2 linked regions of the Mus musculus genome follow. The protein of the gene in region 1 interacts with the protein of each later gene in a pairwise test. Links are inferred from orthologs where the notes say so. Each region holds a gene or a part of one and is shown in the gene's direction. Other genes may lie near its edges.

Region 1 (4,541 bases):
GCCACACCTCCAAATAGTGCCACTCCCTGGGCCAAGCATATGTAAACCATCACACTCACCAAACCATAACAAGGACAACCAAAACCACACATGAAACATGGAGTCTGTTTTATGTTGGTCAGCTACTCCTGAGCATGGGACCTACCCAGGAGGGTGACTGATATGCCCAATCGTCCCATTGGAGACAACTGGTTTTCTCTTTCTCATGAAGTATTGATTGCAAATAGCTTCTTCGTCAGGGAGGGGCCTTTGTGCCCACTTCTCTTCTTCAGTGCTGGGATTTTGTCTGTAAAACCAGAGACTGTTGACAGCATGCACAAGACCCGCACAAGTCCACCTTACCGTGCAATGTGCAAGTTACTGGCATTTCTTGCTTCCGGAACTGCTGGTAAGACACCTTTCTATTATACCCTGTTGTGACTTCCTATTAGAACAGGCTGGAAAGAAGTGATCAAAATGGCAACAGCAAACCGGTGAACAGCACATGGAATCTCTCACGGCTTCTATTTTCTCTTTCTGGAGTAAGAGCAGCTTTGCCTGGCTTGTCTGGATCTTTCTAAGCACCACCACCAAACTTTTCAAGAAACCACAGTGTGGAGGAGGAAAGACCAAGGGTGGCTTCCCTCACAAGACACAGCAGACAGTAACATGTCAGTAGCATGAACAGGTGAGACCTAGACAGAAGCTTCCCTGACACATTTTCCAATGTGAGGGTCTAGGAAGAAAAGGAAGGCGAGGCCTTGAGACCTGTCTGTACAGGGGCCAGAGCTACGAATGCAGATCATCGCCTTAAATGGGACATGATCTTTTTGTCCTCCTTCCAGATTCCAGATTCCAAATTCCATTTCCCCCAGTGTGCACTGGTACACTGTATTACTAAACTCTCACCAACATCACGACAACGTTGATAGAAAGCTGTATTGTATGAAAATCTATCTTGGATGAGAATTATCTATGCTCGTGATTAGAATTAGGGCAGATGGTGCGGGGCCGCGGAGAGTAGGGAGAACGCAGGGGCACATCAGACAATAGCCAGCCCCAGTTGTGTCACCAGTAGTGGGTTTCCGCTGTGGAAGGCTAACACGGCTCCCCAAGACTCTCGGGTTCCCAAACGCACAGCGAAGCGGGCCAAGGTAGCTTCGTGAAGACTCAGGACTGGACTCTTGCCATCTTCAGTTCAGGTCCCTTCCCACCGTGCTGTTGCACCCCTGTCAGGTCATCTGCTCTGGGCAGCGTGGGACAGGTGGCGAGTTTTCCAGATTACTGAACATGGTGCAGAATTACGAGTGTGGGTGTAGTAAGGCACCTCCGGGTGTGTTCCCTGGCGGCCGCGAGGTGCCTGCTGACAGTGCTTTGGTTGAGTCCCGGCGCTCTAGGGCAGGACCATACCTAGCTACGTCTTGCTCCAGTCCCATTAGCCCCTCCTAATCCCTAATTTTACCCCGCCTCCATCCCGCTGACCGCGCCCAGCTCCCGGACTCGCCCTGCCCCTGGCCTCCGAGGCCCCGCCCCGCGTCAGCCCTCCCGGAAGCGCCGGCTGAGCGTGTGCATGGCGCGGGAGTCCTGCGCCTCCGAGACTGTCTCTGCCGCTGCTGTGCTCTTCGCCTGGGTACGTGGCTCCGCCCCCGGGCTAGGGCAGAGACGAAGGGGCGAGGAGACCCGGGAGCTCCCGGCGTCTGCGTGGGTGGCAGGGAGCTGGGAGGCGGCGGCCCGAGCTAGGGTCCTGGATTGGAGGATCCTGGGTTGCAGCAAGGAGGAGAGGGTGCGGAGGGAGGGTCTCCCCGCAGTGCCTGAGGGGCCTACTGCTAGCTGTGGGATGAGGACCCGAGGGACTGAAGCACTTCGGGAGGACCCTGCATCCAGAGCAAAGCATCCATTCTGGGAAAGCGCTCGGCCGCCAGACTGCCTAGAAAGACAGCGTGGAGGCTTGGCAGAGAGATCTCGGTCCCAGAGCTCCTGGGGCCACCTGTGTCATCGAACCTGCCTTTTGCTTGGAGGATGGAAGGCTTCTTTCCAGCGCCATCACCCTGGGGAGCGTCCTGTGGATGTGAGGCCTGTGGAGTATGGCCGCGCAAGGCACAGACCCTGCGTATTTGCTGTTACTCGGCTGTGACCAAATCTTTTCTCTTCTGGGGGTGTGGAAGTCTGGGCTGGGCAGGTTTGACACTGCACTTTGACTGACCTATGGTCATCCTTCCGTGTGATTGGAGAGGAGGCTTTATACCCACGAGTGTGGGGGACATGCGTGACAGCATGCATATGTCGGGTGTTGCTGTTCTTAGTATTAAATACCAAAATTGTAATGGAATGCATGATTTGTTAACGGCAGTCTCCTTGACTACAGCGGAGGTGTTCTTGAGAGCGAGTACTGAGCCAGTGGTGTTCACATTGTCTCTCTTGGTGCCTGGCATCTTGTAGACCCCAGGGAAATATTTGTTGACTAAAGAATGAATGAATGAATGAATGAATGAACGAGCGAATGAAACGAATGAATGAGTACTTGTGTGCACAGCCATCTGTTAATGTTTGGGAAATACATAGCTATTCCCAGTTCTTGTGATAGAGGAAGCCATAACAGCTATGTTTTTTGCCAAAATTAGAATTTATCTATATACCTTTCACTTGTTGAGTGTAAGGCTGTCAGAAAGGAGAGCATGGCTTGGCCTGGCTGGCTGGCTCAACTCCTTGAAGTAGCACTTGAACGAGGCTTGGCAGGGGGGGTGGGAGGTGGGGGTTGGGGGGTGGGGTGGGGGTGGGCGTTAGTAACTGAATGTGTTGCTGTCATTTTCCAGCCTGGAGACTGCTGTCTTTTTGGACAGAGGAAAAACACCTGATAGGAAAAGCCTTTCAGCTGTGGCCTTGAATGGACAGAGACAGAACCAGGGCTGAACCTAGTGTGTTTGGAGGCCTGCTGGGGTATTCCTCCTGCTGCGTAATCAGGGAGCATGTATTAGTTGGCCTCCGCTGCCGCTGCCGCTGCCGTGACAAAACACCACAGGCTGGGTTCTTAGACAATAGACATTTATTTTCTCTGTGTTGGAAGTTGCAAGTCCGAGATTAAGGTGTGGGCACTTTTGGTTTCTCTGGGGCCTCAGGTGGCTGTTTCTTTGTGCATGGGCATCCTTGGTGTCTTGGGAAGAGACTAGACAGACTGGATTATGGTCTGTCTCATCATTTAACTTTAATTACCTTTTTAAAGGTGTGTCTCCAAATACAGTCATATTCTGGTATGTCAGAGGTTAGGGCTTTGACATAGGCATTTTGAAGGAACACAATTCATCTTGTTCCAAGTGGTTTTGTGTTTTGTGTGTATGTGTGTGTGTGTATGCACACGCTGTGTCTGGACCCTTTGTAAAGAAGGAAGGTATACACAGTTGTCATAGGGTATATTAAATTTTTCTTTACCTAGCTTTATCCTGGGTTTAGGGCCCTTATTGCACCACAGAAGTTGATACAAAGCATGAACCCCGGATTGCTCTAGCCTGGCTTCTCTCTTAGATGTTCAGCAGCCTGAAAGCCTGGTAATGGGGTAGCTAGAGAAGACAGAAACCCCAGGATATACTCTCTGCTTCACTCTGTGCAACAGTGTTGTTTGTAACAGTGTTATTTGACAGTGCACTTAAACAGTGTTGCATTCCAGGGTGGAGAGATTTATGTCTGACATCCACAGTCCGCCAGCCAGTGCAGTTTCAGGGTTAGGAGAATAGCTATAAGACCAAGTCCCTGCCTTCATGGTGGTGACTTTCTAGGAGAGGAGGTAGCTCAGTCAAGCCAGCAATGCACTCTAGTGCCAAGGAATGACACAAAGAGGAGGAGAAAGGGGACAAAGCAATGGCAATGTACGTGAGCAATAGGCAAGAGCTGGGATTCTCAACCTTCCTGATGCTGTGACCCTGGTGACCCCCAACCATAAAATTGTTTTTATTGCTTCCTCGTAACTGTAATTTTGCTACAGTTATGAACTGTAATGTACTATTTTTGGAGGTAGAGGTTTGCCAAAGCGTCCACAACCCACATTTTGAAAACTGCTGGTCTAGAGTCATGTGACTTAATCTCTGGGCTGGTTCCCTATACATACCTGTTTTCTTATGGATACAGTAAGAACTAATGGAAGAAATGGATTTCTAACTCACTCATCCAATTGTGTAACTGGATCATCACTTGAGCCTCCAGGCCTCAGTTTCCTCATCTGTACAATGGATGCGAATGCTCCTAGCTGTGAGGCTTCAAGGTGGCCGTCCTGTGTGCAGAGATGCACTTGTTAGAACTGTATTGTTCAAAAGACCCTCTTAGCCTGTGCTCCCCACAAGTCTCATTCTTCATCTTGGGGTCCTGCAGCTCAAGGTGGCTGGAAGCACCCAAGAGGTGGGATGGTTTCCATAAGTGTGTGTTTTGTATTCATATTTTGGTAGTTGTTTTAAACCAAGTGTTCCTATTTATGTGCCCTCAAAACAAACAAACAAACAAACAAACAAAAAAACCCGGTATTAAATGGTTCTACCACTCACCTCCAAAAGAACCAGCTTGGGAGTAGATACTTG
Region 2 (4,444 bases), on another chromosome or scaffold:
GTCGGCCCCTGCGCTCCAGAGATCCACCTGTTTCTGCCCCTGCTTGCATCAATGCTGGGGTTACAGATCGATATACTTGCCAGGCCATTCCCTACCAACAACTGCATCCATTTCTGCGCATTCAAGAATGGCTCATAAGAACTAAAGATCATCTGAACTAAAGACAGACACTTGGAAATCAGTTTTCTTCCTGTGTCCCAGAGGTTACCTGGGAAGTATTTATACCCATAAAGATAGAAGGCTTTCACTGCATTTCTCTTCTGCCCAGACAGGCTACAGCTAACCTGCAACAGGCTACAAAGATCTCCTAATTGCTATTTAGATCTTCAATTATGTTAAAAAAAAAAAAAAAAAAAGGAATGGAGATCTTTGAAACAACCTTCCATACACTTAAGTTCTGGGTTTTTTCCTCCCAAAGGCTTCTCTGCCCATAGGTTTTCACACTTCAAAAAGGCTTCAAAATATAGTGTCCTTTAAACATGCACAAAATTGGTAATTTATGCACACAACTGTACATACTTAAACACTGTTACAGAAATGTAAACTACATAAGTCATACATGACTGCTGAACTATTCATTCTCGTGCAAAAGAATGTTAGATTCCAAAGGATCTACTCTCAGAAGAGGATGTAAGAACCAAAGAATGTAATTTTCCAACCCCCAGAGCTCTTCAAGTCAAACTGGAATCCAGTTCTGCCATACTACTTTTCACTACACTGCACTCCTCCAGTGAGATGAGTAACTGCTTAGCACTACTCCAAAGTCCCTGGTTGTAACCGGAACAAGCCCAGCACGGCTCTCGGAACAACGTGCTTCTCAAAGAAGAGGCTGCACGCTGACGAAAATACCAGGAACACCATTCCTTTTACCGAGAACTAAAGTTCACATAAATAATTTGTTCCTGGGCTTTAGAGACAGCTAGGCTCATCGTTATGGCCTAGGTATGCAATCTTGGGCAAGATGCCCAGTCTCTAAATCTATGTTAAAGATGAATAAAATGGATTTTTGAACCTCAAGATCAAGTTTAACATATAGGTTGCCCACTAAAAACCCCAATAATTAAAAGCTACTGTGCCCACCACTGCAGTGAATATTTAAAATATGGCTAGAACTCGCCCCTGTCTTGCAGATCTTGGTTCTCTACAACACAACCGGGGTATCAGAAAGTGGCTGGGGTGAGAGAGGCAGTGATGTACCTGCAGGCAAGAACTCATAACAGGCCAAGAGTCACTCAGAGTTCAAGGTCGCCTGAAACGCAATTGCAGGAGCGCTGTGGGCCGAGAACTGGAGAGGACGCTGTGTGGCTCCCTGAGCCTCAATGATTCCCCCTTTCAAGAGGGCGTAGCCTCCGCCAATTCTTTTAATGTCCTCTGAAGTCAGCTATGGAGGACAAGACTCCACCTGCATAGAAAACTCGTTTATATCCCAAGCCCAAACTCCCCGGGCCCCGGACTGACGTAACCGCCATGAGAGGGAGCCCTTCACACTATTGGTCGCTGGCACCCAGTGGACGGAGAACTGCGCAACGCTGCTGCGCAGGAAGCACCATCTTTCCGGCGCTATCTCCATGGCGACCGCGACCGGGTCACCCTTTTGGCCGCGGCGGTAGAAGTTACGTCATCGCCTGTGCGTCCGGAAGTGACTGTTCCTGCGCCAGGGTGGACCGGGAAGACCGGGCCTTACCCTGCCTGGGCGCAGGTAGGCAAGCTGATGCGGTGCCGACCGGGTGACCATGGCGGTGTTTCACGACGAGGTGGAGATCGAGGACTTTCAATATGACGAGGACTCGGAGACATATTTCTACCCTTGCCCCTGTGGGGATAACTTTGCCATCACCAAGGTACTCTAAAGGGCCCGCCGGCGATCCCTCGAGCTTGCGCATTGTCGCTTCCGGTGTCCCTGGGAAGGCTCAGTTACCCACGTGTTCTTCCGAACCCCCGCCCCTAAAGTAGTAACCTAGGCTGTCTAGCATACAGGGTCGGGTTAAGGGCGCTGTTCTCCGTAGTCCCGCCCCTAAGTGTTTTTCTTTTTTTTCTATTTTTTTTTCCCCTGGGAGCTTCTTTGAAGAAGGGAACTTGATTTTGTACCCCAGGGTTTTGGAGGCGATCGAACCAATCTAATCTCCCTGTTTTTTTTTCCTAGATGACACTTGGGAGGAAAGTTCTTTGTGTTGTTACCCAACTAAAGACTTGCCCATAGACATAGGAGAGATTTATGGGAAGTTGACGAAAGGCTATGCTGACCATATGTTGTTTGATTGCGTTGTAGGAAGATTTGGAAAATGGAGAAGATGTGGCCACGTGTCCTAGCTGCTCACTCATTATAAAAGTGATTTATGACAAAGTAAGGGATATGTTAAAGGGGATGGGTGGTGTGAGCTAATGACAAGGGCCTAAAGGAGCCTGTCTGATAGAAAAGGGCGGAAGAGTGTTGGGTGTTGGTTTGTTTTTTGAGACAGGGACCTTAAGTAGCCCTGGCTATACTGGAACTCATGATGTGAACCAGGCTGGCCTTGAATTCACAGAGATCTGCCTTTTATGTAACTTATGATCACTTTGGAAAGGGCAATAAAGAAATTGCTTTGTAATGAAAATTGATGACTTAATCAGGAATGAAAAATTATGGTTATTTTAATTGATGTTCTTCCTTTTGACATTTCTCTTGTATTTAATATTTAGTTTGTTCAGAGCTCTAGGATATTTTTAGAAGATTGCATTTTATTGCTTGCCTAGCTTATGTACAGAATCTACCTTGTTTGAGATATAGTTCCTAGATGTAATGTTACAGTTCCATGTTCCTTTGTATCCATTAGGAATGGCAATAGAAAAGGGGTAAATATCTTTACTTCCCACCCAAAGCTCAGTTAGTGCTTTGGAGTCTAAGTACAGAATGTAACAGTCTAGAGGATAAATTCTAAAATGACTATAGGGTAAGTTGGACCAAAGCACAGAACTTTGTGGGAGAAGCAGGTGTTAATTTAGACAATAATAGAAATGTAATGATTCATTCTTATTTTAAAATGGTTTATGGAGCAAAGAACAATGGACAGACTAGGGACTGACTCCTTGGGAATCACACTGTAGAGGATGTGTAGTAACTGGGAAAGTTTTTGTGGTAGCTGGCATAAACCAGCATGAAAGATCAGAGTGTGAACTTCATTTACAAGTAGTTACTGTTGCAGGTATATGTTGGGAAACACACAAAGGCATTCTTTTTATTACTCATTTTGAAGAGGTTACATATTTGAATGACCAGATATTGATCTGAAATATAAAAACTTGATAGTTGTGATGTGTTTATTTCTGGGAACTGGTTGCTCCCTAGCTAAGATATTTATGAGACACTGCATATTAACTAATGACCTCAGGGCTAAACTTCAGTATACTTTTAGATTCTGGTTCTAGTGCTGACACCAGCTCTCTGTACAAAAATAAAGTGTTATTGGGTCTGGGGAGATGGATTAGAGGCTAAGAGCTTCCAAAAGGAGTGGCCATTTACATCTTCCACAGTGGTGGCTCACAGCCACCTGCAACTCTAGCCCCAGGGAATCTGGTGCCCTCTTCTTCCCTCACGGGCACCCCCCACACATGTGGGGTACATACCTACATACAAACAAAAAACCAAAAGTCTTTGAATGTTCCTTTGTTTCCAGTTGTGTCAACTGGGGTAGCTACTAATATCTATTAGGAAGACCAAGGGCTGAGGCCATACAGCACAGACCATCCCTGAGCAGCAGTTAGTTCTTGGTACGTAAGTCATAAAAATTTTAAACTAAATTTGTTGGCATTTTTATAATACTATAAATGGATTTTCCCCTAAATTTCACATCTTGATTTTTTTTTTCATTGCTAGCATTAAAAGAAAGAAAGAAGGAAAGAAAACAAGATGACAGAACAGTGAAAAAAACTAATAGCCAGATTGATTCTGTGGCCAAAGGAAAGTAATGTTAATGCATTTGTGAGACAAACACCCGGCGGCTAATAGCATTTCTTCTTCTTCTTAGGATCAGTTCATGTGTGGAGAAACAGTCCCAGCACCTTCAACCAACAAGGAGTTAGTTAAATGCTGAAGAGGCTCTCAGGTACCCACATCCTGAACCGTGGGGGCTGAGCCCAGGTGGATGGATCCAGTGCAGAGTTACCAACCTCCTCGATGGGCAGCCTCAGGGGTGTGATCTTCATCAGCCACTGAACTCAGCATGAAAAAGGGAGCCTATGACATGCCAGCCCTGGATTCCATACTGGGACTGGAAGGATTCCTAATTGTCCGTCTGAATTTAAGGAAGAGCCTTATTATAAACTGTGGTTTTTCCTTCAGTCGGCTGCATCATTTGAACATCTGGAAATTCATTTTCTGAAAATAACATCATCCGCCTCAATCCTGAGTGTCTTTTATTTTTTTAAGATTTATTATTTTATTCTTAATTGTGTGTGTATGTGCATT

Evidence for each region. The genes of interacting proteins can lie anywhere in the genome.
Region 2: the proteins of Sergef (region 1) and Dph3 interact in binary tests that used the Homo sapiens proteins (3 or more experiments, as listed by UniProt). The link is inferred for Mus musculus from reciprocal best matches to the Homo sapiens genes SERGEF and DPH3.

Annotation. Positions count from the first base shown.
Region 1 is NC_000073.6:46,636,781-46,641,321, reverse strand, and holds the start of Sergef (secretion-regulating guanine nucleotide exchange factor), read left to right. Parts: upstream 1-1,514; 5' UTR 1,515-1,549; coding exon 1,550-1,609; intron 1,610-1,628; exon of another isoform or gene 1,629-1,998; coding exon of another isoform or gene 1,999-2,061; intron 2,062-2,750; exon of another isoform or gene 2,751-3,062; intron 3,063-3,072; exon of another isoform or gene 3,073-4,365; intron 4,366-4,541. UniProt on the Homo sapiens protein: Probable guanine nucleotide exchange factor (GEF), which may be involved in the secretion process.
Region 2 is NC_000080.6:32,082,807-32,087,250, reverse strand, and holds the start of Dph3 (DPH3 homolog), read left to right. Parts: upstream 1-1,558; 5' UTR 1,559-1,733; coding exon 1,734-1,841; intron 1,842-1,964; exon of another isoform or gene 1,965-2,269; coding exon 2,270-2,344; intron 2,345-4,004; coding exon 4,005-4,070; 3' UTR 4,071-4,444.